Canis lupus familiaris: one gene and its partners. The protein of the gene in region 1 interacts with the protein of each later gene in a pairwise test. Links are inferred from orthologs where the notes say so. Each region holds a gene or a part of one and is shown in the gene's direction. Other genes may lie near its edges.

Region 1 (6,006 bases):
TGGAGCAATTTAGAAGAGTTATTATATGAAATGTGCCAAAGCATGAATTTATGGCTGATGCTTATTTGGCAAATAAGGTTGGCACTGCTAGATGTTGAAAAACATGTATGCAAATAAGCAAATAAAAGTTTTTAAGCTCTCCGACTTAAATATTTACATTACCATAAATGTACAAAGATAAATGTTTATATGAGTACACATATAATGCATTCCAGGAACACATTTTTTAATGTGATTGTCAGAAACAGCTATAAAGTGGCATTACTTCTTTATGGGCCTCAGGGTAGACTCTTAAAAATGGATTCTGACAGAATGTTAATGGGGCCCAAACATCAGCAAGGAAGTTTTTCTCTGCACTATCACTGGGTAAAGTGAATACTCATCATAACAGCTCGAAGCAATCTTCTCTTGTCCTTTCGCCCAAATATTTTCTTCCCCTACTGGGACCCAGCCAAACAGAAATACCAGCTCCTAAATGGCAGAGAGGGGATGGAAAGGACCACACATCACCAGCCTCAAGGAAAAGGGCTTGAGGCTTTTCCCCCCCATGTAATATAATCAAGCTACAGTCTCCAAAATAAAGACATGATAAAATATTTCCCCTTCTGACAGCTACGGAAAGAGGTTTGTTTTTCGCATACTTGGTGAATTGGTCATGGCCCAGCTCCCCGGCAATGGCAGGCACCCTGCTCCCGCTCGCCGGAGTCCCCGGGCGGGGGCCTGGGCCGGGGGCGGCCCCACCTGCCGGGAGCGCCCGCCGCGGGCGCCGAGGGGGGCTGGGGGGGGGGCGGGGCGCCGCGCGAGTGTCCGCGGACGCCGGGGGCCGGAGCCGGAGCCGGGGGGCGCGTCGGGGTCCCCGCGGGGGAGGGGGAGGGCGGGCGCGGCCCGCAGCAGGCGCCCAGGTCGGCGGCCCGGGTGGAAGTCCCCGATCCGCGAGCGGGCCGGGCGTGCCGGGCTCCAGGGGCGAGGCCGCCACCACGAGGCCGGCTCCGCGCCTCCACGCGCGTCCGGGGCAGCGCTGGGGCCGACACCGAAGTCGTGCCCTCGGCCGGCCGGGGCGGGGGGGGGGGGGGGGGGGGGGGGGAGGGGAGGGGAGGGGAGGGAGGGGGGAGGGGGCTGCCCGCCCTCCCGCCCGCGGGTCGCAAAGTAGCCCCGACCCAGGAGCCCGCGGGCGACCGAGGGACGAGACCAGCCGCCGCGGCCCGCAGGAGAGCGGGCGGGCGGGGGAGCCTCCGGGGCCGAGCGGGGCCGCCGACACGCAGCAGCGCCCGCGTCCAGCCCCCGCAGCTGCACTTTCCCCAGCGGCAGCCCCGCCGCGCCCGGGGGCGCCCCTGCGCCAGCTCCAACTTTCCCTCCTCTGGGGGGCGCCGGGCGACCGGGGCGGCCGTCCTCGCCGGGGGGCGGGGGGAGCTCCGGGGCGGGGCTCCGGGCGGCGGAGGGGGGGGGCGGCGGGGCTCGGGACGGCGGGGAGGGGGGCGGGGGGCCGGCGGGGAGGGTGCAGGGGGTGCAGGGGGGCGGCGGGGAGGGGTGCAGGGGGGCGGCGGGGAGGGTGCAGGGGGGCGGCGGGAAGGTGCAGGGGAGAGGCGAGGAGGGTGCAGGGGGCGGCGGGGAGGGCTGCAGGGGGGGACGGGGCTCGGGACGGCGGCGGGGGGTGCAGAGGGGGACGGGGGAAGGACGGCGGGGAGGGCAGCGGGGGGGGGGGCGTTGCAGGGGAGCGGCGGGGCCCCGGGGAGGAGTGCAGGGGGGTCGGGGGGGCTGCAGGGGGCGGCGGGGCTCGGGGCGGCCGCACAGCCCGCACCGGGCAGGACGCACCGGCCGCCTGCGCCCCCGTGGCGCCGCCCCACGACCCCGCGCGCCCCGCCCGGGCTCCGCCGGGGCAGCGCTCGCCCCCCGGGCCGGCCGGCGCCGGGGAGGGGACCGAGGGGACGCGGGCAGCCCTGGCCCCGTTACCTGGAAGGCGCGCGTGCCGCTGGGGCGACCACCATCGCCGGCCGGCCCGTCCCCCGCCCGGTGACCGCGGCCGCCGCCGCCGAGCAACTGACACTAACAAGTAACTAACTACTGGCCGCCGCCGAGCCTGCCGAGCCTGCCGCGCGCTCCCGCCGCCCGCCGCCCGCCGCCCGCCCGGCCCACCAGCCCGCGCGCCCGCCTCCTCCCGGCCCGCGCGCCGCCCCTCCGCGCGCACCCGCCGCGGCTCCCCGCGGAGCGAGCACGCGCACGCGCACGAGCCCCCGCTCGGCCGTCTCCCCGGGCTCGCCCCGGGCCCGGGGGAGGGGCCACCGCGGGGCCCCGCCCACCTCCGGACCATCAGCCTATGAGGGCTCCAGACTGACCGGCGGGGGCGTGGCCGAGGGAAGAGGGCGGGACGACCGGGCCCTTGGGCTAAAGCCAAGGGAAATTCGGGTTCCGCTCCGTCCCAGACGGAAAGGGCGGCAGGTCGTTCGCCCTTTCGGTGCCGAAGCCCCCTGGCCAGCCTGCCGTCGAGTGCAAAACACGTGTTTCCAAGGGCCCCCAGCATCCCGTAATTACCGAGTCCTTTCTGCAGGCCTTAGCGACGTCAAAAACTACATCTCCCAGGAAGCTCCGCGAAAGCCGGCCTCACCTTGCGTCATCACGTAGTCCCTCGCCGCATTGGAACAAAATAATCCCTTCGTTTTTCTCAAGGTACGGGGGGTAATAGTCCCTTTTCCTCCTCGCCGGAGCAATTCTAAACGCCATCGCGACAAGGAAGGCTGCGTCGGGGGAGGTGGCTCAGCGGCCGGGCGAAGGGAAAGGAAAGATAGCGAAAGAAAGTGCTGCGGAGGAATTTCCCCCGCCGCGAGACGCCGCAGCGAGCGGAGTGCAGGCGACCGAGAGGGGCTCAGGGGACTGTCCTCCGTGCGGGGGCCTCTGCGGGCCCCGTCCCCGCCTGCCCCTGCCGCCAGCAGGCCGGTAAGCAGGGCGGGCTGCGGGGTGGCCACGGCCGAGCGGCCCCGCGCCCCCCCAACGCCGTCTCCTTTGGCCGTTGTGGCCGGTTCGGCTCGGCTTGAGGCCGCCCGAACGGGGGCGCCCCACTTCCGGTGGGGGAGGGGCGGCCGGAGCCGCTTCCGGTGGGGGCGGGGGCGTGGTGCGCGCGGCGCGGCGGGCGCGGCGTCCTGAGGTTGGGGGCGTGTGCGCCGCGGGAGGGTCGGCGGTGGCTCGTGGCTCGTGGCTCGTGGCTCGTCGCCCGCCGCCCGCCGCCCGCCGCCTCCCGCCCGGATCCGGGAGCTCTGTCTCCCCGCGTTAGGAGGGAACAGCTCCTCCCCCAGGTGTTCGCAGGGCGCTGTTAGACCCCCTCGGCTCCGGCACGTCCGCGCGCCCTCCGTGCCCCCGGCCCGAGCCAGGTGTCCCAGCCGGAGGCAGGTGTCCCGGCCCGAGCCCGAAGCAGGTGTCTCGGCCAGAGCCAGGTGTCCCAGCCCGAGCCTGAAGCAGGTGCCCCAGCCTGAGCCAGGTGTCCTGGCCCCAGCCCGAAGCAGGTGTCCCGGCCCAAGCCCGAGGCAAGTGTCCCAGCCGGAGCCAGGTGCCTCGGCTGGGGCCAGGTGTCCCAGCCCGAGCCTGAAGCAGGTGTCCCGGCCTGAGCCAGGTGTCCTGGCCCAAGCAGGTGTCCCAGCCGGAGGCAGGTGTCCTGGCCCGAGCCCGAAGCAGGTGTCCCGGCCCAAGCTAGGTGTCCCAGCCCGAGGCAAGTGTCCTGGCCCCAGCCCGAAGCAGGTGTCCCGGCCCAAGCCCGAGGCAAGTGTCCCAGCCTGAGCCAGCTGGAGCCAGGTCCCTCGGCTGGGGCCAGGTGTCCCAGCCCGAGCCTGAAGCAGGTGTCCCAGCCTGAGCCAGGTGTCCTGGCCCAAACAGGTGTCCCGGCCTGAGCCAGGTGTCCTGGCCCAAGCAGGTGTCCCGGCCTGAGCCAGGTGTCCTGGCCCAAGCAGGAGTCCCAGCCAGAGGCAGGTGTCCTGGCCCGAGCCCGAAGCAGGTGTCCCAGCCCGAAGCAGGTGTCCCGGCCCAAGCCCAAGGCAAGTGTCCCAGCCTGAGCCAGCTGGAGCCAGGTGCCTCGGCTGGGGCCAGGTGTCCCAGCCCGAGCCTGAAGCAGATGTCCCAGCCTGAGCCAGGTGTCCTGGCCCAAACAGGTGTCCCAGCCAGAGGCAGGTGTCCCGGCCCAAGCCAGGTGTCCCGGCCCAAGCCAGGTGTCCCAGCCCAAGGCAGGTGTCCTGGCCCCAGCCGGAAGCAGGTGTCCCGGCCCGAGGCAAGTGTCCCAGCCTCTTCGACCGCCGGCCCCACGCCTGCCCCCAGGACTCTCGCGTTGGCTCAGAGCGGGGAGGCATCTTCACCTGGCAGGGGTGAAGCCTTTGGTGTCCCCTTAACCCATACCGAGTGCTCTTCGGCTCCTACACCTGTTGATTTTAGGCGGCAGCTTTCGCCTTGTAGCTGAAAACCACTTACTTCCTCAGGCCTGAAAATTCTTACCTGTCCCTGTCACGGAGCTCCTGGGACAGCTGTAGGTCGATACATTCCCCCGCCCCCTCCACCTTTGTAATTTAAGTAATTTCAGCCCCGATGAAAACCTGGTATCTGCCCTTTCTGTTTGCAAACCATGCTGCGGAGATCATGGTACTCAGGTTTTAAGCAAGCAGGGCATTTGGCTCACGGAGGACAGAAGATGGGTAAGACAGGACTTTTTTTTTTTTTTTTCCTGTGTTGTCAGTGTTTTATTATAAGAAGCAATGTGTAAAGTGGTAATAAACACTCAATTTTTCTTGTCTTCTCCTTTCAAGTATCACAGGTGTGTGTGTTTGTACTAATGGAATCCATCCGTTTGGAGCCTATGAAATCTCAACTGTAGTGATTTTATTTTAATTTTTTTTGTAGTGATTTTAGAATATCAAGTAAACTGTAAGGTCTTTAAAGGATTTTTAAAAGCATAAGGCCCATGTTTCGTTTTGTTTTTTCCTTTGGGATTTGTTACCTATTCTATCCTCTGAATTTGCAATTGTCTTAATTCTAGTTCTTTGAAAAAGCCATTATTATTTATTAGAAAAATGTGGGGTTCTTTGTTTGTTTTAATTCATGAGAGGCAGAGAGACAGAAGCAGAAGCAGAGGGATCCCTGGGTGGCGCATCGGTTTGGCGCCTGCCTTTGGCCCAGGGCGGGATCCGGGAGACCCGGGATCGAATCCCACGTCGGGCTCCCGGTGCATGGAGCCTGCTTCTCCCTCTGCCTGTGTCTCTGCCTCTCTCTCTCTCTCTCTCTTTGTGACTATCATAAATAAATAAATAATTAAAAAAAAAAAAAAAGAAGCAGAAGCAGAGACACAGACAGAGGGACAAGCAGGCTCCTTGCAAGGAACCCAGTGTGGGACTCAATCCCGGATCTCCAGGATCACGCATGCCCTGGGCCGAAGGCAGACGCTAAACCGCTGAGCCACCCAGGGATCCCTGAAAAAATGTGTTTTAAACTAAATATTACAGTAAGGGAAAAAATACATGTTTTAACCTTATGTAAACATTGGGGGAAAAAAATCTAAGACCCTAAAATCAGTGAGTTATCCTTTGAAAGACTACAGAATTTCTGCAGTAATTGAAAAGGCAAGACACGATAATGTCTATGTTATTATTAATTGAAGGTTAGGGACATGTAGACTGCCTCAAGCAAGTATTAATTAATTGATTGGACAGAAAGTGTTCACTGTCTTCCATATTATTAAAGTATAAAAGAAAATGTGATACGATCACCCTGACAAATTAAACTATAGTATTAGGAATTACTGCAGTAAGCAAAGATCGTGGAACTTTTAAATGAAAAAGATAGAGAAAATGTAGTTTAAATATTGATTGAGATACAGTAGTATTGCTTTTAGGAAACTAGAGAGCAAAGGAGTTTTTTTTAATTGGGTCTTTATGCTATTCCATGGAAGAATTGCAGTGTAACAGAAGAAAATTTGCTGCAGCTGAAAGACAAGCAGCTTGCAGAACTGTCTGTTCTGAAGAAAGTAATATATACACC
Region 2 (5,960 bases), on another chromosome or scaffold:
AAATCAAGCATTCTCTCATCCAGGAAAACAGACTTTATCTCCTCCAAATCTCCCAAACTCCCCCCTCTATCTGGGAGAGAAGACCCTGCCAGATGCTCCTGAAACACCTGTGTAAATCATGTTATAATATTGCTTTCTTGCCTTGCCACCCCCACCCCGTTTCAGTCATAAGCTGCCAGAGGACAGCAGCCCCGTGGAGTGCTCACAAAAGGAGAACCAAATGAAAAGAGGTAGAAGATTAGCTGAACACACGCTGACTTTTGGGGATCAGCTCAAGAAAGACAGGCCTTTGGGGAGACCAAGAAGGGCTCAAAGGTTGCTTTGGGTGCCACAAGCCACCCTTTCTTTCTAAATTCCCCAAGGAAGAGAAAATGACTCAAGAGCCATCCATCTTCTCTGACCTTAGATATAACAGGGATAACAATATCTCTCTCCCTCATTGTCTGGTTGTGATGATTAATCAGATAATGGATACAAAGTGGATATAAAACGGATAAATGAGATAATGGATACAAAGTACATAGAATAATTGTGCAGTCCTATTATTTTCCAGGCAGAAATTTTCAGGGTCTCTTTCAAACTCCAGAGCCTTGCTGCTTCAGCTTTCCTTGCAGGGTAACCTCTGACCCTTCTTCCCATTTTTTTCTGCTGTCACTATCCCATACTATTTATCCCTCTTCCCAATGCTCCTGCTCCTCTTCCACATCCTTCTCTACCTCCTCTCTTCTTTCCCCTCTAGCCCACCATTTTCTTCTTCCTTCCCCTCCTCTTCTCTCCCTCCTCCCTTCACAACCTCTAACTCTCGTCCCTGCTTGCTTTGTGCAGGAAATTGTACAAGAAAGGAAAACTGAGCCAAACTGCCCGGATCCTCCTGTACTTCTTCTATCACTATTACCTGAGACATATATTTCTCAGATGTAAAATGCAGATGTTGTTTAAAAAAAAAAAAAGGCAAAAAAAAAAAAAAAACAGTACTTAACTCACAGTTGCTTTGAAAATTAAATAAGATATCTAAGTAAGTACTTACCAAATTGTCCAAATTAAATGTCCCTCAGTAAAGTGTTCAGTGACTCTTACCTATTCATCTTCTTTCTCCTCCTATCTCTTCTTCTTTACCCCTAAGCCCCGGGGTGAAGATGAGAAAAGAAATCTAAATGGTATAGTTTACAGCAAGAGCACCATGACTTTTCAAGAAAGAAGCCCTCTCTAATCTAATGCTGACATCAAAGAATCAGTTATCTTACTCGCCTTCACCACACATTGGTCACATTTCTGACCAATCTAGCTTTTGTGGTCATAGGTGAAGATGCCTGTATGATCCTGCAAAATTAACACTAGATTTTCTGATGAAAAGAAGAATTTGCTTTGCATGACCTTGTTCTCTTTGCAGAAGTAAAAAATTCCTCTGTTCTTACTTAGGAAATATCAAGTATTAGAAAAAGCAAAAATATTTCTTCTTTGTTAAGTTTAACCAAAAGGAGAAGTGCATGCTACCCCATGGAACAGAGCCCTCTTAAAATTCCATTCCGAAATCAGGAAAGAAATCATGTAAAGAAGGTGTAATCAAGGTGTGGTCGATATACCAGAGACCATCTATGTACAGAAATTGAAACTGTTTAGAAACGTTTACATCACTTTGGAATTGTCTGGGTATCTAAGCCCCCAATCAATGTACTTTTCTTCTTCACTGAGTAGAGAGGGCAATTCGGTTGTTGTCAAATCAGTTTTAAGAGGCCCCGAGATGCTTACCCCGTAATGTACAAGGGACCACGTACGAGCCTGCGAAGAACTGGAGGCGGGACAGGGTACGGTAGGATGGGCTGGAGGGGAGACAGGCCCTTCGTCGCAGCTTGAGAAGCACCGATGCACACTGTAGGTCCACAATCTTACGTTGTCGGATCATTTATCAATCTTCAAGAGTTCATTTAAATAAGGCGCAAAAATATGGAAACGCCAAATGTGTGGGATTGTCAGATGGCAAAACTGACACCTTTCCATTTTGCCCGTCCCCTGCCGAACCTGTCCTGCTCAGGCAGCGCCGGAGCTCTCGGCTCTTCCCAGGGTCCTGCCATCTCGAGGCTGAAGATCCCGACCGAAGCCAGAGCCGCGAGCTGCGGACCCGCCCCTCCCTCCCTCCCTCCCTCCCTCCGAGGTCTCCCGCCTGCTCAGTTCTCTCACTTCCTGATAAGCCCAGTTTAAACAACAGGATGGACGTTAGGAGGCGGGGATTAGAAGAGTTTCTTACGTCTGTTTCAAAAGTGCTTCTAGCTCTTGGCAGAAGTGGCCGGTTCGCGAAGGAATCACTTTCCACAATATTGTCTAGGAGGAAAGATGGGAGACGTGAACGCCTGCCTCCGAGAGTTCCCAACATTCTCATTCAGAAGGCAACGAAGGGTTGAAGTGAGGCTGTGGATCTCAACACGCCAGCTTTTGCAGATACCCGAAGGCCAAGCGAGGACTCCGAACCCTAACGTGACTACTTGGTCAAGCGAAGGAAGGCGCGGACCGAGCGAGTAAACTACACTTCCCAGCATGCCAGAGGGGTGGGCCCCGCGGCTGCGCAGACGGATACGCGACGGTCCTGGGATTTCAGCATGGCTGTGTTCGCGGATTTGGACCTGCGAGCGGGTTCCGACCTAAAGGCGCTGCGCGGCCTGGTGGAGAACGCAGCTCACCGTGAGTCTCCCCGGCTGTGCGGGCCGCGGTGCCTGCCCAGCCTCGCTGCCCCCCAGACCATCAGGCCACGTTCAGGAGGGACGCGAAGGCCTGTCTTCGTTCGGGTCCCCTGGGATCTTGGATATGTCCCCGCGAGCTGATGCTGCCGCGGTGCTGCTTAGATCCCGGGCGCGGGAAACTCGAAAGCACTTGGGAGCTGTTACCTAGTTCAGTTCTATTATCGTCTTCTCCCCCTGAAAACTGAAAAAACTGAGGCTCCGACAGGATGGGAGATTTGCATAGAGCCCCACGGCTAGAGGATGCCAGAAGCCAGGGCTTCCAAGTGTGTAAATCTCCTACACCAGTGCTTTTAGTATCACCTCTGTCTGCCTCCCAGTAGTATCAGAGCAGTTTGGGGAATTGGGCGCAGACGGGGAATGCTGTGGAAATTCAAAGAAGGGGCGGAGGGACATGAGGGTGACCTTGTGGGCATAATCTAAGAACGGGAGGTGGGGCGGGGGGAGAGACGTACTAGGCGGGTGGCAGGGGAACAGCAAGGCCGCCATGCTGCAGTGCTACTCATTTGAATCCAAGGGAAGCAAAAGCCCGGAGAGAGAAGACCCTGTTTTAATTATTGGAGCTAATCATAACTGTTGTCTTCTGCAAAGTGTGGGGATAGAGAAGTTTAAAAATCAGGAGGTTTCTGTGGAGCATGGCAAGCAATGGATGCTCAACAACTATTTGAAGGAGGAAGGAAAGAAGGAAATCAGACAAACCGAGGAGAGGGAAAAACCACTCTTCTGGCATTAATATGCATTATCTTTTAATATCAGTACCTTGTCCTTCCCATTGGTGTTTAAATAATTTAGAGATAGGAATCATGATTCAGACATGTTTTTGGTAGTCCTTGTGTCCAGACTAATGCTGTATAGAGTCTGATAAAGCAAGGCCCTGACCTCAGAGTTCCCAATCTACTGATGGTGGGCAGCTGGGAAGGGGAAGTGAGCAGTGGTGTGAGGGAGTAATTACTCCATTTCTCCCTAGAAAAAGTACCTCTGAAGGAAGTAGAAAGGGTAAAAAGCAAAAGAAATGATCAAGTGAAAAAAGGTATCATGCTAACAGTACATCACAGAGGTCAGAGAGCCCTGCCTCTGTGCCAGGTGCAGCTCTAAATCATCCATGCTTATTACCTTATTTATTTCTCATGACAGTTGTGTGAGGTAAGTCTGACACCAGTCCAAACCCACAGCCCCTGCCCCTACAGACCCCTGCTCTCGACCTGAGCTGAGTTGAGCCTATGTGTACAAGAGAGAGGTTGTTATATTTAACAAGAATGTTCCATTTTTCTTTTCAGTGGGCTATTCGGTTGTTGCCATCAATCATGTTGTTGAATTTAAGGAAAAGAAACAGGTAAAAAAAACAATTTCTGACGTTAATAATAACCAAAATTTACAATTGTTTTTATTCGTATTGGTAATATGGAAGCTGCAGATGAGTATATTTCTTAAATACACTTTCTTGTGTACTGTATTATTTTACATGTTAACAGTTGAGCCAATGCAGAGTTTTTTGTGAAGTATTAGGGTGTGGTAGAAGGATTCTTAAAGTTGAATTGATGTTAATTAAATAACTTTCAATAATTTTTAAAAGTATATTGTTACTGAGTTATAGTATTTAGTCCTTTTTATTTTACTGACATGGGCTCATTACTAATTGATTTCCCTCTTAAACATGCTTGTAAATGTGTATTTATCTTCAGGCCAACAACTATACCTTATAGATTATTTCAGTCAAAAAGCTATTTTTCACCCCACATATCCATTGATGTCCTTAGCTGTTTCTCTGCTCTCCAGCTTCTTTTTATTTTTTATTTTTTTAAGATTTTATTTATTCATGACAGACACACACACACACAGAGGCAGAGACACAGGTAGAGGGAGAAGCAGGCTTCATGCAGGGAGCCTGACGTGGGACTCGATCCTGGGTCTCCAGGATCACACCCTGGGCTGAAAGCAGCACTAAACCACTGGGCCACTGGGGCTGTCCAGCTTTCTTCCTTTAAAAAAAAAAAAAAAAGTATTTACTGTTTCTGTATATCAGAAGTTAACTTTCCAAAAACCCCTTGTAAGTTTTCCATTATGCTTCATTCCATTCGCATGTACAATCTAGGGTGACTGTTCATTGTTTACTGTAGGAAATTGAAAAACCGGTAGCTGTTTCTGAACTCTTTACAACTCTGCCAATGGTACAGGTATGTATCTTGTTGTTTAAGGACCATAATAGCTATTCAGAAATGTCCAATTTTATGTAGGATTCTCTTCCCTGCACTCTTCCTCCTCTACCAGTTTTACTTTTCCACAAGACTCAGGTCTTCCATGAAGCTTCCTTTTGCTATCAATTCAGTACTTCTTTGGCGATCTTCTTTCCTGAAGTTCCCATAACCTTTGAGTAATCCTGTTATGTAGTTTGACACATGTATATTTTTATTTTGCCAATTATATTATAAATTCCTTGAGAATGAAGAGTAGTTTTTATTGATTGTCACTACCCTTTACTGCCGGTGCCTTTCAGTGAGCACTTTTCCACTGATAAAGAAGAAAATCGATTGTTTGTATTTTGAGTTTTTTTGATGGAATGCTTTTGATTATAGGGAAAATCAAGACCAATTAAAGTTTTAACTAGACTGACAATTATTGTTTCGGATCCATCTCACTGCAATGTTTTGGTAAGTTAATTTTTCTTTTTGACCTTGTAAGTTGTACTGGTTAATGTTGAACAGGGTTGTAACAGTGTTTTCACCTTATCCCCTTCTTATATTCCCTGCCCCCAGGCATGACACCTGCCTACTCTCCCTCTCTTCGGAATTCATATAGCTTAACAGTCTGTTCTACTATTGACACATTAATATGGATACTACAATTGAAGAGTCCTTTGACAACTATTACTCATTGAACTCACATGAAACCAGGCGTAACGTGGGTCCTGGGGATATTGCTGTGAATAATAGAGATAGAATTGTTGAACTTACAAAGTTCGTTTAATGATAAAACGAGCATTAAACAGATAATTAAAAATGTGAGGAATATTTAAATAGTTGGGGGTAATAAGTAAAGGATGCTCTGGGAGTGTGTAACAAGGGGGCCCACCTGAGGAAGTTGATGTTCCAACCTGGGCCAGAAGAATCAGTAAGTGTTGTATAAGTGCTGAGCAGAAGAGAGAGTGTTCCCACAGACAGAGTGGATTATGCACAGGTCCTGGATCCAAGGAAAACCTGGTGTTTTCTGGGAAACGAAACAACACCGATG
Region 3 (6,099 bases), on another chromosome or scaffold:
GTTGAGCATCTGACTCTTGCTCTCTGCTCAGGTCATGATCTCAGGGTGGTGAGATAGAGCCCAGCATCTGGCTCTGCACTTAGCAGGGAGTCTGCTTGACATTCACTCTCCCTCTCTCTCTGCCTCTGCCCCTCCTCACCCTGTGATCTAAAATAATAAATACATAAGTAAATCTTTTTAAAAATGTCGGTTAAAAAAATAACTTAAAAATAAAAAGAGGGATGCCTGGGTGGCTCAGTGGCTGAGTGTCTGCCTTTGGCTCAAGGTGTGATCCTGGGGTCCCGGGATGGAGTCCCACACCAGGCTCCTGGCAGGGAGCCTGCTTCTCCCTCTGCATATGTCTCTGCCTCTCTCTCGGTGTCTCAGGAATAAATAAAATCTTAAAAATAAAATTAAAAAAATAAAAAATAAAAATAAATGTTGGCTAAATTTGACAGGATATGGGAAAAAATTAATCAGTTTCAATGCAATGTATTTTTTACAGCTATCAAATATACCCCATGCACAGCCTGAAATGCCTGGTGTAGAGTATCTTTTTCGCACCATAGAGGCCACCCTACGGAAAGAAGGTAGAGCACTGAGGAGTAAAAAAGAACTAGAAGAGACAGACTTTAAAAACTTAGAACTAGGGTGGCTTAGTTGATTAAGAGTATCTGTTTTGCACCATGGAGGCCACCCTACGGAAAGAAGGCAGAGCACTGAGGAGTAAAAAAGAACTAGAAGAGACAGACTTTAAAAACTTAGAACTAGGGTGGCTTAGTTGATTAAGCAACAGACTCTTGAATTCAGCTAAGGTCCTGGGATGGATGTGGGGCTCCATGCTTGCCTGCCAGTCTGCTTGGGATTTTCCCCACCTTCTTCCCCTCTCCTTCCCCCTCTTCCAAAAATAAATACATAAATCTTTGGGGAAAAAAAAAAAAAACCCAACAACTTAGATCTAGAGTGGTTAGAGCACTGGTCTCACAAAGAACCTTAGAAACCAACTCTCCACTGTTTGCTGTAAATGTTTAATCACTTGCAATTAAAAAGTTTCCATGTGGTTAATATTACGAGCTTTGGAGTCAGATCTGTTTGAATTCCCACTCTAATGCTCATTGGTTATTTGACCTTGGTCAAATTGGTTAACCAATCTAAGTCTGTTTCTTCATCTGTAAACAAACGTATGCTTGACGGGGATGGGAGAACCAAATGGGCCAATGTATGTAAAACCTCTAGAATAGAGACTGGCATAAATAGAAGCAGCTCCTCTCCACCCGGATAGTGGCACAGGGTCTGTCCCAACCAGACAAGGCAACACTGAGATGGGAGAACAAAAAGATAAAGGTGGGTCAGACCACAACACAATTAGGAAATTTCAGGGGAAGTTGCCTAGCCGGGTCATTACATTCTAATGAGGAATAATCTCTTCTGAGTGGTTGTCTGCATCCCTACCATGGAAGACTCACCGTCACCCCGTATTTCAGTGCGAGTCCAGCCAGGGTGTCTCCGGGGGCCAGCTGATGCTCCAGGCGTCTTTCCCTCACCGGGGAGCAGGCTGACTGCACCAGGCTTCCGTAAGAACGAGCCCGGCTCCCCTGTAGCAGTCCTGACCCCCCGAGGGGGGCCTGTCTAGAGGACGAAGCCATCTCCTCACCCCGCCGGCAGCTGGGGTTGCAAGTGAGGGAGGCCTGGCTAAGTGCCGACAGCCACGGGGCTGGGGGCGAGGGACGTCTATCCAGGGGGTTCCTTTCCCCCGTCTCCTCTCACAAACCCCCGTCTGCCCCGGCACTTCGCGCCCCCGCGGCTCTCGTTTGTCCCGCTTCCCAGGCGCCTTCCCACGAATCTGTATCCCGAGGATCCAGTCCCTACCAGAGTCTCTCCTTATTAGCACCCCGCTGACTTTCAACCCTCCCACCACTATGAACTCTGACCTTTGAACCGTAGTTACCCTCCACACTCCGCTCAGCTCGCCCCTCTCCCCCAGGTCAGGCAGCCTCCGCCTCCCAGGTTCCCTTCACACCCCGGCCCCGCCTCGTCCCGGGTTGGTCGGCTTGTGTCAGGAATAAATCCAGCCCCCTCCTGGTGGGCTGTCGGCGGCCAGGGAGGCGCGTGAGGACCGCGAGAGTTTGTACTACACGTTCCACTCAGAGATCTTCCAAGGCCCGCTCCTCAGCAAATCCGTCACGGCCTCAACGTCGGTCTCCACATTTAAGTTCTTGTCTCCCCAGACGCCTCGAATCAGCCAAGATGCAAGGGCCGGGAGCCAGCTGGGTGGCAAGCCCTTTGAAAAAAAGACTTCATTTCCCAAAACGCCCCGCGCCTGCGGGGTCGCCGGGTCGCGTGGGCAGTGCGGTCGGCTCCGCAGGCTGTGGGCGGGCTTTCCGCGAGCGCTGTGCATCTAGGGAAGTAAGGAGGCCAACCGGAAAGAAACCCGACGGGAGAAGACGCCTTACTCTCGCTACGGTGGCCTGAGAGGAGTGGCCGAGGCGGCTCGGGAGAATTGTTCGCTTCTGGAGCTCAGTCGTAATGTCTTTCAAGAGGGAAGGGGATGATTCGAGTCAACTCAATGTGCTCAAAGTAAGCGCGAGAGGGGAGCATCGGGAACAGTTTCACTGCCCCGTGAAGGAGCTGTTTTGTTGCTCTGGCAACAGCTGCGGGGCCGGCGCGACCAGAGCTGGGTAGTGACCCCTTCTTCGCCCAGTGATCTCTGTTCTCATGGTCCTTTTTGCCTTTCAATCTTTGACCCCTCCCTCCTCTCCCACTGGTCCCGTCCGGCTACCCCCTGCAGAAACGGAGAGTCGGGGACCTGCTGGCCAGTTATATCCCAGAGGATGAAGCGCTCATGCTACGGGATGGACGGTGAGGGCGAGGGGTGATCAAGCCCGAGGGTGCTGCGGTTATAGGCTTCGTATAATTTTGTTATCAAGGGGGGAGCGGGAGTATCTAGGATTTTCTGATGGGGGATGAGGGACAGGGATGTGGGTGGTGGAAATTGGGAGACCCTAGAGTTTGGTTTTGGAAAGGGTTGCTAGGTCCAGGTGGAACCAGACCCCACTCACCTGGCACCGAATATCTTCTACCCTCCTCTCCAGCTTCGCTTGTGCTATCTGTCCCCACCGACCTGTACTGGACACCCTGGCCATGCTGACTGCCCACCGTGCAGGCAAGAAACATCTGTCCAGTAAGTGAGGGAAGACAAATCTCTGCAGATCACTCTTGCGGTTTTGTTTTTAATTCTCTTCCCCTCTACCTTCAGGCCTGCAGCTTTTCTATGGCAAGAAGCAGCCAGTAAAGGGAATGGAGCAGAATCCAAGACAGCAGAATGAATTGAGGCAGTCAGAGATCAAGGCTGAGGTAGGTAATCAGGGAGGGGAGGGTGTGTTTTGGGTGGGCCTGCTGCACATCTTAGGCTTGAAGGGCTTCGACTTCTTTCTAGCTCTGAAGACACTGACTGTGTTTCCCATCTCCACACCAGGCTCCTCTGTTAACGCAGACCCGACTTACCACCCAGAGTGCTCTGCACAGAGCTCCTCACTATAACAGTTGCTGCCGCAGGAAGCACAGGTCTGTGGGGTGGGAAAGCCAGAGGTAGGGCGGGTCAGAGGAGATAGATGGCTCTAAGATAAAGGTATTACAAATTGTATTCTCAGGAATATTAATACTCCAGAGATGTTTACTGATATTTCAGAAAAAAAAGAGAATGTTGCTTTTTTTTTTTTTTTTTAAGTTTAGGAAACGGCACTTTGGTTTTTGTTCTAAAGATTTTACTGATTTATTCATGAGAGACAGAGAGAGGCAGAGACATAGGCAGAGGGAGAAGCAGGCTCCCTGTGGAGAGCCCAATGCAGGATTCAATCCCAGGACCCCGGGATCATGACCTGAGCCGAAGGCAGACACTCAACCACTGAGTCACCCAGGTGCCCCAGGAAATGGCACTTTGTGATCCTACTTGAAGAGTAGTAATATTAATATATTCGAAGGGCTCTACAAAGTCTAAAGATTAAAAAAAAAAAACCCTCAAAATGTTATACTAGCCTTTTAAAAATTCATATGATTCCAAAATTCTTTTTTTTATGCAAGACATTTACTAATATCTTGAGGAACACAGTTTAGGAAACACTTCTGTAAGGGATTGGGAGTCATAGGAGAATTGGCCTTTTTCCTTTACTACTTTTATAGACGTTGATTCTTCTCTACCTAGACCAGAAACCCCTCGTCCCTCTGTCTCCCATCCCCCTTTACCACCCCCAGAGGTTGAGCCTGAGAGTGGGAAGATCACTAAGGAACCCATGCCTGGAGCTGGCCCACAGGCCAAGGAGTCAGCAACTGTCTCATCCCCTGTGCCCATGAGCCCCACGAGGAAACGAGCCCTGGATCATTACCTCACCCTTCGAAGGTTTGTATGCAGAATCACTTTCTTCAAGTTTTCTCTTTTCTTTCTGAGTTTTCTTATTTCAATCCTTCTCAATTGTTTTTCTCTTATCCCCATTAACTTCTTAAACCTCTTTTCCTGATTTATTCTATTTTCTGTTATTTGCAGCTCTGGATGGATCCCAGATGGACAAGGTCGATGGGTAAAAGATGAGAATGTTGAGTTTGACTCTGATGAAGAGGAACCTCCTGACCTTTCCTTAGACTGATACCCTCTTTTCCCCCTCAGTTCACAAATAAATTTCAGCAGGCTCCAGGAGTCTAACTTTCTTCAAGTCTACTTCCTTGCCCCATTTCAGGATTTCACTGGTGGATTTTTTTTTTTTTTTTTAAGTAGGCTACACACCCAATGTGGAGCCCAATGTAGAGCTTGAACTCATGACCCTGAGATCAAGACCTGAGCTGAGATCAAGAGTCAAACTCTGATTAACCAACCAAGCCACCCATTTCAGGTGTCCCCCATTTCAGGACAGCCAGGCCCATTCTTCCCTGAAATGTACACAGCTCCCCATACTTCTGACCCCTCCCCCACCTTCAACCAAAGTACTGCCAAGCGTCAGCTGCATGCAGCCCAATGCCCTATTAATAAGTCTGTCAGAAGGAGGTCTTTGCCCTTCATGTTGTCTGCCTTCTTTTTTTTTTTTTTTTTTTTTTTTGTTGTCTGCCTTCTTCCCCACCTTCACTCAAAGTTCTTTCCTCCTTCAGATCACATGAAGTTGTAGTTAGACACCAGGGGCCCTACCCGTATCTGAAAAGAGGGCTGGGGTAGTAGGTACCCTGTGAGAGCAGAAGGGACTAACTGCATTGGCAGGGCCACAGGGAACACCAAGGGAGGGAGCTGCCCCACCTCTGCCTAGTAACTTGAACCTCCCTGCCTGCTGATCCCCAGAGTATAAATAATCCCCTGATGAACTGGCAGTAACCCTTGGGGGTTAGCGCCAAGATTCCCACCCCAAAGCCCGAGGAAAGAGGGAGGCAGGCAGAGTGGACAGAAGGGCCTTTATTTACAGGAAAGGGGAGAGAGAAGGATTTAGGTATTCAGGGCTCCCAGCTCTAGTTGGTAAAGGGAAAAGGTAGCGTTATCTCTTTTTTTGCTGGCGGCCTATAACAGGAAAGAGGAAACACAAGTCTTTGTTTTATCTCTTTGCTTCCTGCAAAGGTACTCATCTTCCCCTTTCCAGTTCCTTGGCCAGACTCAAAGAGGTAATGCCTTAGGCCAGCAAGCATACCCACCCCACATGGCAAGTAAAAATGCCATGCCCACAAACAGGTATGTCTGGCTTCTTTTCCACCTTTCTGCAGGTATAATTTGGGGCAGGAGACTTTTCTACTTTCTCACAGGGTTTAAACTTCTCATGTGAATACTGCTTTGGCAGCCCACAGGCCATTAGTCACTAAGCTTTCAGATTCACTACCTATTTGCCCTTTCCGCCACACAACAAGTTTGTATTTACTCACGTAGTTCATTGTTCCGGGTCATGGCCTGGGCTGCCCGAGCTCGTGGCCCCTGCTGTGTAAAGTGGTAGCCAAAGCGGACAATGGAGGGACACTGTTCGAGAACGGTGGCCATCTCCATCTCCACTGCATCACCAGGCCACTGGCGCTGGGGGAAGGAGAGATGAGACCTGTCAGCCACGCTCTCTGCCTGGTTCATTGTCCCACACCACCAACCCTTTGGGAGGTCAAAGA
Region 4 (6,082 bases), on another chromosome or scaffold:
AAAAAATGTGCTGAACCCTGCTTTAGGAAATACTTCGGATGGGCTTATGTGCATATTATTCTTTGAGTTCTTGGATTTTAAAAAGAGGATTTTTTTTCCTATAGAGTTTAATGCCTGAAAAGCAGCATGGATGGGTGGGTACAAAATCCTTAGCTTGCATCTTCTTTGCTCAAGTTTTTCAAAAATGCTGCATCACTATTGCCTTGCTTTGCTCTTGAGAAGTCTGATGCCAGATATTTTCTTTCCCAGATTCCATAACAAACTATTTAGTTTGAAAAGTAATGGCTTAAAGTGAGAACTATTTTGGATATAATTTCACAATCTTTAGGGTCAGGAATTTGGGTGGGGTTTGGCTGGATTATTCTTCTGTTCTACATAGCTTTGACTGGGGTCACTGTGTGGTACCCCAGCTGATGGCTGATCTGATATAGAGCATTCATGATGACTTCACTCACATCAGCTAGAGTCAGCTAGTCTCTCTCCCTCTCTATGCTATCTCAGAGTCTCTCCACAGGGAGTTAGATTTTTAAAAAAGATTTATTTATTTTAGAGAGAGAGAGAGACAGCAGGAGTGGGAGGGGGAGAGGAAGAAGGAGAGAGAATCTCTTCATGCTGGAGTCCAAGAAGACTCCCCCTCTGAGCACAGAGCTGGAACAAGGCTCCATCCCAGGACCCTGAGATCATAACCTGAGCCGAAACCAAGAGTCAGATGCTTAACCAACTGTGCCACCCAGGTGCCCAGGGGAGTTAGATATTTCATATTGTGCCTCAGGGCTTCAAGAGCAAGTGTGCTCAAAGACCCAGTGGATTCTTCAAGACTTCTTATGAAGTCTTAGAAGTCCTGTATACTGGGGATCCCTGGGTGGCTCAGCAGTTTAGCGCCTGCCTTTGGCCCAGAGCGAGATCCTGGAGTCCCAGGATTGAGTCCCACGTTCGGCTCCCTGCATGGAGCCTGCTTCTTTCTCCTTCTGCCTCTCTCTCTCTCTCTCTCTCTGTCTCTCATGAATAAATAAATAAAATCTAAAAAAAAAAAAAAAGTCCTGTATACATCACACATTCTGCTGGTCAAGCAATTCTCTTGGGCCAGCCTGGATCAAAAGAAGGGACACAGAATCTGCAGACATCTTTAATGTACTGCAGCCTTAGTACATTAAGTAATTTGAACTTTTTGCATGGTGGCTTTGAAAACTATTATTTTTGTCTAATAGTTTTAAGAGGCTAGCTCTTAGAATCGATCACTCTGATGGTTTCCCCCAAGTACAAGGGGGCTCTCTCATTATGTAGGTTTACATTTTCTTATTTCAAGAAAATTTCATTATTTGTCCCATTATTTGGCATTCCAAACAGAGAGAGAAATAAGCACAAAGGTCTGCAGGCAAGGGAAAGGAGGAACATTCCAGGAGTTTGGATGGGATTTGTGTAGGAAGTGACAGAGAGGAAGTGGGGAGATAGACAAAGGATAGATGAATGGATGGTTTTGCGTGCCATGCTGAGCAGTGACATATGCAGGCAGCATATTCTGGGAAGTGTTTTCTGACATGCAGTATAGAATATGGAATGAAAGGAACGAGACCACAGGAGAGGGACAGGATCAAAGCTATTACGTTAGTCTAGGTGAGAGGCTTAGCCATGAGGGACAGATTCTAGAGTTCTTAATGAGGAGAATCAACATGATTGTTGAGTGTGGTGGGGACGGGAAGGGAGGAATCCAGGATGACTCTCAGGTTTCTGAACTGGGCAACTGAGTGGACAGTAATGCAGAACAGTTTTAGACACATAGGGCTTGGGGTGGCTGGAGGACATCTAGGGGAAGAGGTCCAGAAGGTGTTTGTCTGTGGAACTCAGATGAGTGGTCTGAGCCAGTAATGCATTTGAGAGTTGCTGGTATATGTGATGGATGAAGACAGGGAGGGGGTGGAATGGCTTCAGGAGATTGTGTAGGGTGAACCGAACACTGAGAACAGAACTTGGGAGACTCAGGAGTGGTCAGCAGGGTGAGGAGGTGAGTCATGTCATGAAGGCCAAGGGAGTTTCCAAAAGAGTGGAGTGCTTTGTGTTGCCAAGTGCCACCAAGAGCCCAGTGATATGAGGACTCAGATACAGCCTGTGACATTTGGGATTCAGCAAGCCCTTAACGATGGATTGGTGCAGGGATGTGGTGGGGACAGAAGTTACATTGTGTGGGTTGACGAGGGAGAAGCTGCTGAGTTGGCAGAGATGAGTGCAAACTACTTTCAAGACATTTGTGAAGGGAAATAGAGAAAGGGAGCAAGCAGTAACTAGAACACAATGCAGAGGGACCGAGGGGTTTCTTGTTCTGAGGACAGGAAAAGCCTGACTATGGCAGATGGTGATGGAAAAGGTAAGAGGGTTTGATAATTTTGAGAGCTTGAGGTGGGGCGGGGGGCACGATCGAAATATGTCTGAAAGGAGTTTTCTGAGGATGTGGGAGGTAATGAGGTATGTATGATGCTCATAGAAGTGAACTTAATTCCCAGAATGGCTTATTATAGTCCAGCTCTGGTACTGAAATTACCTTGGTTTCAATCAATACGGCAAATATAGCAAACAATATCGACATATTTATTTTACATCATTTACACATCTTTTCTCCAAAGGGTAGGATCAATGTTTTACCCTTTCAAAGCCTCCCACATAGTTGGTGCTCAGTAAGTGGTAAATGAATAAACAAGATGTCTCTTGCCTGTATTCTGAGTATCTCAGCATATTCAGAACACAGTCAAGACCCTGCACACAAGCGAAAAAGCTTGAAAAAGCTTGCATGCTTAGAAGCATCCAAGAGTCCTAAAATCCATGTGTCAAAGTTGATGTCCTTTCCTTGAGGAACCTGTTTACCCTCACTTATTTCCTTCACCCTGGGAGTTTAAAAATAGGAAAATGAGAGGAGGAGGAAGAGGATGTTCTAAAGGCAGTCAGGCAGGCAGACAGCAGCAGGAGGTGGCACGATCTGCCTTACCATAAGGTGCCAAAAAGCAGTGAAAACCCAGGCGCACAGCATCCTGGCTTGGGGGCTCTTTGCTTAGGGACTTAACATCCCGCACTCACAGTGCAATTATCCTTAAAGGACACTGCTGATTTGAGCCGTAAGCAACTGTGAGAAGAACGATCCTCTGAACTATCGAGAAAAAGCTTAGCTGTTCTTATTTCGAATCATCTCCTACATTTCACACACTTTGGAAAGCATTCTGTCAAAAATGAATAATATTAAAACAAAAAAGCTGATGTCGAGATGGTAAATCTGGGTCCGGCTCCGTTCCCTCGCCCAAGCTGTTTACCCAGCCTTGGACGCCCTTTTTTTTTTTTTTTTTTTTTCTCCTCGGACGTGTTTCTTTCTCTTCCTTCCAGTCGGGACACAATTGCCACCTATTCCAGGAACCCCCTCCACTTGGTCCAAGCGGAAGTAATCTCTTCCTCCTCTGCCCTGCCATAGCATCTCCTTGTGGGCTTGGCTTTGCCTGGGTCACCAGCCCCGCCTGTTTACACGGCTGCTTTCGTACGAAATTATGCGCACCTCGAACCAGGGGCCGTGACCGCGACGGCGTACCTGCGCAGCACCTGGCAGCGAGCTAAGCGCGGAGCCGGCGCTCACGAAACGCTCGCTGGGTTGAACTTCATTTGGGAAGATCCCTCAGGGCAAGACCTCTCGCCGGAGGCGCGGATGAATGATTCATGGGGTGGTTCTTTGCATTCTTCACCTTCGAGTCACGGCGCGCACAGTGTCCAGCTGCCCCGGCACATACCTGTGGAATCGAAACGCACCTCCGCCGCCAGCGCGCGGGACCAGCCGGAAGGGGGCGGGTTTCACCCCTCCGCGTCCGCCAGTCGCGGGCCCGCTGGGGGGAGGGGAGGGACGGGGGAGCCGGGTCCCGCTCGGCCGCAGGGGGCGGGGCTCGGAGGGAGCTCGGCCCGCTCGCCCGCCCCCTCCTCTGCGAGGCGGAAGCCCCGCCCCCGGCCGCGCGCTCGCACAGGCGGCGCGCGCCCGCCCCCCGCCCCCCGCCCCGCGCCCCGCGCCCCGCGTCTCCGCGCCCCCGCGTCTCCGCGCCCCCGCGCCCCCGCGCCCCCGCGCCCCCGCGTCTCCGCGCCCCCGCGCCCCGCGCCCCCGCGCCCTCGCGCCCTCGCGCCCTCGCGCCGGGGGCGGGCTTGCTGCGCGTGCCGGGCGGGGAGACGGCGCGAGCCGGGCGCCTGAGAACGTCCGCCGCGGGGGCGGCTCCGGGGCCTGAGCGGGCTCCGCCGCCACCTCGGCCGCCGGGCCCGGGCCGCAGGAGGCGCAGGAGGCTGCGGCCGCCCGAGACCTTCGCGGCGTCCCCAGCTCCGGCCGGGAAGTGAGTGCGGCGGCGGCTCGCGGCGGCCGCGGGCTGCGGGAGGGCGGCGGGGTGGGCTGGAGCCTCGCGCCCGCGAGGAGCGGGAAGGAGCCTCCGGGCGGCGGGGGACGGACGGGGCTCGGGGAGCCGGGGCCGCTGCACCGCGAGCGCAGAGTCCGGGGCCGGCGCGGCTGGGCTCGGAGCCCCGGGCCGGGGAGGGGTCCCCGGGGTCCCGAGCGCACCGTGGCCGCGGGGCGCGGGGCCGGGCTGCGGGCGCCGGGCTGATGCTGCTGCTGGAGGAGGAGGCTGAGTTAGGTGCTGTGAGGGGCGAAGGAGGCAGGTCCTGGCAGAGGGCAGGTGAGGCAGTTAGGCCCTGGCAGAGGGAAGGGACTGTATCTCAGCTCGCCCCCAAGCACTGCTTGCGGAGGCGCCTAACCGTGCTGAACCCGTGCACCGAGGTCACCCTCGAAAAGAAGGTGTCCTGAGAGCAGGCGGGGTGGAGGTAACAGATGCTTGCCGTTGAATTCCTGTGCCAGGCCTTGGGATTAGGAAGACCTTCCAGCGCTCCTGGCCAACGTTTATCGATTAGCTACCTGGGGTAGAGAACCGCGGTCAGCAGCTGGGGCCACGAAATAGTGTAAAACACAGCCGTGATCTGCCGTGTAGGTAGGTGCTGACGATTTGGGAGCGAAGGTGTGTGCATGTGAAATACAAAGTAGCATTGAATTTCGTCTCACACTTTATTCACTTTAGGTCTTTTTTTGGGTCTTTTCCCAGTGTTGGGAAATTGGAGCTATAAATTGCTTGGTTTGGAGATAAAGCAGAAGAGTCAGAGGAGCTTGTGGGGGAAATTTGAGAGACTTCGAAGGCAGTTCTGCCTAACATTTAAAGGGGGGAGAAGGGAAGAAGAAATCTGGAAAGAGAAAAGAAGTTACCTTCCTTCCCTCCTAAAAAAAAAAAAAAAAAAAAAAAAAAAAATTTATTGGAGTTCAGTTCTCCTAAAATTAAGCTCCATGACTATAGCTGCTAAATCCTCAATGACAAGAACAGTGCCTGGCCCACAGCAGTCAGGTAAAAAATATTTATTGCGTGAACCAATGAACCAAGCAAGGCTTTGCTGTGTTTTACACGGAGCAGTATTAAATACTTAGATGTTAAGAATGGCTGATGGGATTCCCGAGATTCTTATTCTTATTCTTATTCTTATTCTTATTCTTATTCTTATTCTTATTCTTATTCTTTTCTTTTCTTTTCTTTTCTTTTCTTTCTTTTTCTCCTCCTTTTTTCTTTTCCCCTTTCTCTCTTCCTCTTCTTTTTTTTTAATATTTTGGTCACATAAGGTAACCCAGGTTTCTAGGTCTGGGTATTTATTTTTTATTTTTATTTATTTTAATTTTAATGTTTATTTCTTTTTATTTTTTTTATTGAAGTTCAGTTTGCCAACATATAGCATAACACCCAGTGCTCATCCCATCAAGTGCCCCCCTCAGTGCCCATCACCTAGTCACCCCATCCCCTCCCACCTCCCCTTCCACTACCCCTTGTTCTTTTCCCAGAGTTAGGTGTCTCTCATGTTCTGTCACCCTCTCTGATATTTCCCACTTGTTTTCTCACCTTTCCCCTTTAATTCCTTTCACTATTTTTTATATTCCCCAAATGAATGAGACCATATAATGTTTGTCCTTCTCCAACTGACTTACTTCACTCAGCATAATATCCTCCAGCTCCATCCACGTTGAAGCAAATGGTGGGTATTTGTC
Region 5 (6,097 bases), on another chromosome or scaffold:
TGCATAGGAGCTGAGAGGTCAGAGCCGGTGAAATCTGAGCGGAGCCCTGAGGGGTAGGTGGGTTCCAGATGGGTGGGAGAGAAGGGCCCAGGCAAAGGCCCCGAGGCCCACTGATAGGCGGGGTCCAGGATGTGCCTCTACCCACCTCTGTACTCCCTGAGATTCCTCTACCTGCCTCGCTCGGGATCTACTGAGCTTTCCCCTCCTCCTTATATTTCAAGACCCAGTGAAACCGTCACCTGCTCTGTGAACCATTCCTGACCCTCTCCCCCATGAGCTGATTTTGCGGCGGGGAGAGGGGGCACGGCGAGCTATAGCGCAGTCCTCGATGACGGTGTTATCATGCCCTATATGGATGTGTGTCTGTTGCCCTGTGACTGGGCTGGGGAGACCCGTGCTCTGAATCTGTGGCAGAGACACTGTGATGTGCTCACCCAAATGACCGTTTCCTCCTGGGCACAGAGGAAGGCTGTGATTGCCGGACCCCTTGCAGCCCGGTGGCACCAGTTCTGGTCATTGACTGCGGACCCATGTGATGTGTGCCTCCTCCAGGCCTGGCTCGCAGTGACCTCCCACCCCCACCCGGAGACCCCCAGCTCGCACTATCCCCTCCCTTGTGGCTGGCTGGGAGTCAAGGGGTTGGGGGAGACCTCAGAAGCCCTGAGGGAAGAATCTCTAGATGGGAGAGATTCTGGTGGAATCTCCAGATGGAAGCGGCTGGAGTTCCTGAACATCGGGAGTGTTCCCCGAGGAGTCTTCCCCGAGCCCTCTGACTTAGCCCTGAACCGCAGCCTGAGTGAGAAGTGGGTCTTACGCGTGACCCCAGCAGCACTAGCCTATGCCAATCAACCCAGTATCTGCAGTCCCCCTGCTGATGGGCCTGGGCTTGACACGTGGCTGGGGGCCTCTCACCTGTAACCCCACCCTCTGCACCGACATACTCAGGGAAACCTGCTCAATGACCCTGGCCCCTGGTCTGCTGAGAAAAAAGGGTGCTGCCCCTGGGTACCAGAGCTGCTCTGTGTGACATCACCACAGCCCCATACCGGTGACGGTGACGGGTGACGCGGGCGCTCACAGTCATTATTGTATTTAATCCCCACAGCAGGGCTGCCTAGGAGACTAACTCCCTCTGGGGTTGCCTTTGCCATTTGCTTGCTGAGAGAGGGGTCTGGGCTCAGACCACCTTGCCAGCCAGCAGAGCTCCCCCTCTCAAGCCACCCACCAGCATTGCTCCCTGCAGCCTCCTGTGTAGTGGGAGTTCACTCACCGTGTTTTTGTGGAGGAGGATTTGCAGGAGGATTTGAGTTTTCCCCTAGAGACGCCAGAAAGACAGTCTGTCTCAGCCTAACACTAACGCCCAGCTCCACATTCAGGGCTGTTTCTGTGGTTACCTTTCTTCGGGGATGTTTGGGGTGGGTGGGTGGTGGTAGTGGTGGGTGTGTGTATATATTTGCTTTTTCCAGGGCCCAGATTTTCAGGAGCTACTGGGGCGAGGGGTTCTGGGAAGCACAGTCCCTCATTCCTTCCCTCAGGGAGGTGCCTTCGGAGGGGGACAGAGGAAGTCTACAGGAAACACAGGTTTGTCTCTCCCTGCCACCCAGGCCGCCTGTGTCTGGGACCAGGATGTCAACCAAGGACCCGCAGCCCGTGAGGGAGGGAAGGGCCCCGGAAGAAGCCTGCTCCGCCGCCTGTGCATTTTATAGGTGGGGAAACCAAGGCCGCGGGAGCCTCAGGGACTTGCTGAAATCGCCCAGAATTGGCAAAGGCAAGCAGAACTGGAACTCAGGCGTCCCTCCTCCCGGTCCTCCGCTCCTTCCCCGAAAGAGGCAGGCGCGGTTGGTAGGGCGTGTCTGCGCAGGGGACTGGCGGTGAGGGTGCCAGAGGGCGCTGGGAGACAGCCTGGGGCGACTCCGGCCTCTTCCCTTTCTGGGCCACCCGGGCCGCACTTCCTGCAGAGGCCGGGGAGGGGGGGCGCGGAGCTGGCCCCTCCCGGTGCCGCCTCCCCGCCTCTCCCACGCCCGCAGGCCAGAGGCCAAGGGTTAGGGAGGCGGCACCGGTGCTCGGCTCCGCTCCGGCCCCGAGATCCGCCCGGGACCGGGACCGGGCTGGGGCCCGGGCGGGGCGGAGGGTGCAGCGGGGAGCAGGCTCGGAAGCCCGCACCCCGGGGCCGGGAGGGGCGTGGCCAGGGCCGGGGGCGCGACCCACGCAGGCAGGTGGGCGGGGCCGAGCCCGGGGGCGGGGCCTGGCGGGGCGGGGCCTGGCGGGGGCGGGGCCGCAGGGAACTCGAGCGCCGGCCCCGCCGCACGCCCCGCCCCCGGCCCCCGCCTCCGGGTCCCGCCTTCGAGTCCCTTCCTTCCCGGCGCTGGCAGGCGGGCCGCGGCGGCTGCAGGCGGCGGACGGGCGGGCCGGCGGACGGGCGGGCGCCTCCACCTCGCTCGCTCCCTCGCCGCCGGCTTCCTTTTGTCTTTCTGGGAGGCGATGAGCGCAGGGCCGGCGCGGAGGCTGCGGGCGCTCGGAGGCCCGCGCTCCTAGCCACCCCTCCCGGCCTCGGCGCGCTCGTCCCGGGCAGCGGCCCGCGCCCGCCCCAGCGCCAGCCGCGCCGAACTTGGGCTCGGGAAGCCGGCGGACCGCGTCCTGCGCCGGAGCAGGTAGGGCTGCGGGGAGTGCGGGCGTGTGCACCGGCGTGAGCTGCGACCCGGCTCTCTGCGTGTGCGCGCGCGCGTGTGTTGGGGTGCCTCTGTCTGCGTCGTGGAGTTGTGGATGACCGCGGACGGTGCTGTGTCCCCGGAATGGCGTGTCCTAGTGGGGATCCGTGTGTACAGTGGGTGTGCACATTTTGGGCTGCGTTTGTGGAATTGTGTGTCGGGGCGCAGTTGCTGGTGTGAGCGGCTGCGCGTGGGGCGCGGGTGGCGGGGTGGGCGTGGGCGGGCCAGCCCTGCCTGCGGAGCCCTCTGGCCCCCGCCGGCCGGCGCAGTGCGGAGCTTCAGGCCACCCCCCCCTCCCCGGATCCCGGGGAGCTAGCGCGGGCCTCTGGGCAGCCTGGGTTCGCCCCGCCGGGGGGCAGGTCCCGCAGCCCACGTGGGTGGCAGGTGCGCTCCCGCCAGGGTAGGGGGCGGCGGCCATCCTCTCCCTGCTCACTAGGCCCAGGGGCGACGGCCGAGCCCTGCTCCGCAGTTAGGAGCCCTGGCCTCGCCGTGACCCGCACTGCGACCTGAGCCAGGCACGCCACCTTCTCTGGTTGAGGTTTGCTTCTCTCCCTCGGGGTCTCTCATGACATTTAAAACGAGAACGCGCTAAAGATAGCGCTTGGCCCAGCGCTTGGCACACAGTAGGTGCGTAAGTTAATTGCATTAGTGTCAAAGAGTGTCTCTTTTTTAATCCTTTTTTCCCCTCTTTATCGTGGGTGGTGCTATTACAGCCCCCTCCCGCGAATGTTGTGTGCCTCCCTCACGGCCCTAACTTAACCGCGAAGCACCGAGATTCGAGAAAGTTTGGGCTGCCGGGTGCGCCGCCAGCTCTGCGCACCTCCCGGGCGGCGCCGCCTCGGGTCTGCAGGAGCGCGCAGCGCCCAGCCGCGAAGGCTCCGGCGCCCGAGCTGGGGGTCCCTCTCCTGGCCAACTGCGGCGGCGGCTGCTGGAATCGGGAGCCTTTTTGTTCAACAAGTGCCTAGTCCCTGGGGCTTGCAGCTCGCGGAGTCTGGCGGCAAGGGCGTGAAAGTGGCGCTCCCCGCAGAGACGGACCTTGGGCTCCCAGGGCATCCCGGCCGCCCGGTCAAGCAGAAGGCATCCCCTCCGCTCCCGGCCAACGCCGATTCCCCCTGGAGGGGGGTGTTTGCCAGAACCGCCAGTCCTGCATTGGGGCCTGGCGCTGGACACCCTCTGACCCTACCCCCACCCATCCAACTGCGGCTCTGTTGGATCAGCCTCGCGCAGAGGAGGCCAAGGGCCAGTGGGATCCTTCCTCCTAGTCAGTCCTACACCTTAATTTTTAAAATATTTAGTTTGAAGCCTACGGCCGTGTAACATTGAACTGCAGTGAATGTGCGCACCCTCTAAGCACGATTCACTCTCAGGGAGAGTCCTGCCAACCGCAGCATATCGCTTGCTCAGACCCAGCGGGGCCAGCTGGCCCTGGCTGCCCTGCTGCCTTCTGCCAAAGCTGGTGATTCCTTCCCTCCCTCGCTGTGGTTTTTTTCTTCCTCTCAGGACCCTTCCCAGTCGGAAACACAAATAACCTTTCACCAAGAGAGCTGTGGACCTCATGGTGCGTGCTGCTCTCAAAATGGAGCATCTGCATGGGATGGGGCTGGGGGCATGGAGATCATCAACTGGGCTGTGCGGAGGCGTGGGATGCATTTCCTGGGATCACCTGCTCCCGGTGGGTGTGCTCAGGGAGCTGGAATCCTTTGCAGGCTTTGATGACACAGGAGCAGAAACCTCTTGCTTGGTCTGTCTTTACCAGCACCTTCTGCTGAGGCCTCAGTGGTAATGGCAGGCCAGGGGATCAGGGGACCTGGATAAGCCAAATTTTCATCCGATTTGGTGTCAGGGCACACTTAGAATGCAAGCTGCTTTTTCTGTTTCATAAGATGATTTTATATCCAAGAGGAGAAAAGGGCTTTTCATCTGAATCCTACTCTCTTTCCCATAATCAGATTGAATAATATTGAAAAAAAAATCAGGCTGGCTTCGTCAGCTCAGAAGACAGATCAAAAGCTGGGGTATTTGTTGTTGTCGTTGTTGTTTTGTATTTTCCTGCTTAAAACCAGCCCTTTGTCTCAAGCAAAGCAGTGTTTTGGCCCTAGATCTATTTCTGTTTCACTTTTGAGAGCGCCTGTAATTACTGAGCTCTTGAGGTTTTATTGGATAATGTGCCAGAGGGAAGGCCCAGGGGCTCTGGCTCTCACTTGCCGTGGGATGTGGTGCGTTGTAGCCTTGCCTGCTCCCTTTGGGTTCCACTTTGATGCTTTTCATAAGGTGGAAAATAGATGTGAATGTGTGATAATAACTTGGGACACCTGGCATTGGGAATCAGATGCCTGGAAGCTCAGACTTGTGGAGACACAACAGGTCAAAACCCCAGAAGAACAGAGATTTGCCCAAACCCTAGCCAGTGATCCATTCATTTCCAATAAGCCTTCTAGAGGGAAACTCTGAGATATAAAGGAGCTTGGACTAATTCCTTCAGAATTTATCTTAATGCCCCTTTCTGGCCACTGGGTTGTGCAGAATTAGAAATACAAGCTGTTGAGTGACAGGAGTGGACTCACCTCTGCATACAGTCCCCATCCAGGCCTCCTCCTTACCGAGCTCTGTCTCTACCTGGAGCTGCTCTGGAGTTTCATCATGGTAAAGCAGTAGTGCTGTCTTTCTGGGCTCAGACCCACTGCCTTTGGGGCTCCACATGCATGGTTCCTAGGGTTGCCTTTTCGCAGAAAATACCCTATTGTGTATTTGTGTGTGAGGCAGTCTGTCTCCCCCTTATGCCTACCGTCCTTCCTTATACTTCTTCTAAGACCTAGTATTGCCACTCATAAGTGGTGAAGTGCCCAGGTCACTTAGGAACCAGTGTTAATCCCTGATACTACCAAGGAGCCCCAGAGTTTATTTGGCACCGGAGAGTAAGCTATTTGGCAGCTGAAATTTTATCTAGATCAGGATCAGGTTTGTGTTAGAATTTAGCATTCCAGCAAGCCTGAAACCAAGCTTGTTTGTTATGGGATAATGCTTCTAATTTGTGAGTCGCTGGCCCAGGCCTGATGGGGGATTATGTGTATTTTGCTAGTTTGTCAGCCCTGGATGTCATTGTATGTGGAGGGAGGGCACTTGTAAACTTTAATCATGCTCTGTCTACTTTGGGATTCACTATCCTCCCACAGTCTCAGTGGGTTTCTTTGGTGTTTTCATGCCCATGTGTAGGGCTGTGCATCTGTGCATCTCACGTGGCTTTTGTTCTCTTCCTTTGGGGTTGAGTTTCTAATCAGGGGACAACAGGTCGTGGTGTATGGAGATAGATGGCTTAGGGGCCATCTTGGTGATTCTTGCTCCATGGGGAAAAATGTTTCTTTCAAATCACTTGGTACCAAACAACAACA

The links.
Region 2: the proteins of HMG20A (region 1) and RPP30 interact in binary tests that used the Homo sapiens proteins (3 or more experiments, as listed by UniProt). The two-hybrid records come from large-scale screens. The link is inferred for Canis lupus familiaris from reciprocal best matches to the Homo sapiens genes HMG20A and RPP30.
Region 3: the proteins of HMG20A (region 1) and SCNM1 interact in binary tests that used the Homo sapiens proteins (3 or more experiments, as listed by UniProt). The two-hybrid records come from large-scale screens. The link is inferred for Canis lupus familiaris from reciprocal best matches to the Homo sapiens genes HMG20A and SCNM1.
Region 4: the proteins of HMG20A (region 1) and DTNB interact in binary tests that used the Homo sapiens proteins (3 or more experiments, as listed by UniProt). The two-hybrid records come from large-scale screens. The link is inferred for Canis lupus familiaris from reciprocal best matches to the Homo sapiens genes HMG20A and DTNB.
Region 5: the proteins of HMG20A (region 1) and HPCAL1 interact in binary tests that used the Homo sapiens proteins (3 or more experiments, as listed by UniProt). The two-hybrid records come from large-scale screens. The link is inferred for Canis lupus familiaris from reciprocal best matches to the Homo sapiens genes HMG20A and HPCAL1.

The regions. Positions count from the first base shown.
Region 1 is NC_049251.1:39,351,749-39,357,754, reverse strand, and holds the start of HMG20A (high mobility group protein 20A), read left to right. Parts: upstream 1-2,390; 5' UTR 2,391-2,602; coding exon of another isoform or gene 2,603-3,441; intron 3,442-4,470; coding exon of another isoform or gene 4,471-4,532; intron 4,533-6,006. Other genes in the region: synaptojanin-1-like, read right to left, coding at 383-471, 2,603-3,441, 4,471-4,532. UniProt on the Homo sapiens protein: Plays a role in neuronal differentiation as chromatin-associated protein. Acts as inhibitor of HMG20B. Overcomes the repressive effects of the neuronal silencer REST and induces the activation of neuronal-specific genes.
Region 2 is NC_049249.1:5,714,991-5,720,950, forward strand, and holds the start of RPP30 (ribonuclease P protein subunit p30), read left to right. Parts: upstream 1-2,222; 5' UTR 2,223-2,594; coding exon 2,595-2,676; intron 2,677-4,009; coding exon 4,010-4,065; intron 4,066-4,849; coding exon 4,850-4,906; intron 4,907-5,305; coding exon 5,306-5,380; intron 5,381-5,960. UniProt on the Homo sapiens protein: Component of ribonuclease P, a ribonucleoprotein complex that generates mature tRNA molecules by cleaving their 5'-ends. Also a component of the MRP ribonuclease complex, which cleaves pre-rRNA sequences.
Region 3 is NC_049238.1:60,886,590-60,892,688, forward strand, and holds SCNM1 (sodium channel modifier 1), read left to right. Parts: upstream 1-2,361; 5' UTR 2,362-2,505; coding exon 2,506-2,556; intron 2,557-2,767; coding exon 2,768-2,838; intron 2,839-3,071; coding exon 3,072-3,160; intron 3,161-3,235; coding exon 3,236-3,333; intron 3,334-3,454; coding exon 3,455-3,543; intron 3,544-4,180; coding exon 4,181-4,375; coding exon of another isoform or gene 4,376-4,519; coding exon 4,520-4,619; 3' UTR 4,620-4,680; downstream 4,681-6,099. Other genes in the region: LYSMD1 (lysM and putative peptidoglycan-binding domain-containing protein 1), read right to left, coding at 1,446-1,625; TMOD4 (tropomodulin-4), read right to left, coding at 4,358-4,521, 5,869-6,013. UniProt on the Homo sapiens protein: As a component of the minor spliceosome, involved in the splicing of U12-type introns in pre-mRNAs. Plays a role in the regulation of primary cilia length and Hedgehog signaling.
Region 4 is NC_049238.1:19,926,734-19,932,815, reverse strand, and holds the start of DTNB (dystrobrevin beta), read left to right. Parts: upstream 1-2,344; 5' UTR 2,345-2,362; intron 2,363-3,565; exon of another isoform or gene 3,566-3,895; intron 3,896-4,226; exon of another isoform or gene 4,227-4,343; intron 4,344-4,908; exon of another isoform or gene 4,909-4,988; intron 4,989-6,082.
Region 5 is NC_049238.1:7,250,436-7,256,532, forward strand, and holds the start of HPCAL1 (hippocalcin-like protein 1), read left to right. Parts: upstream 1-2,359; 5' UTR 2,360-2,651; intron 2,652-6,097. UniProt on the Homo sapiens protein: May be involved in the calcium-dependent regulation of rhodopsin phosphorylation.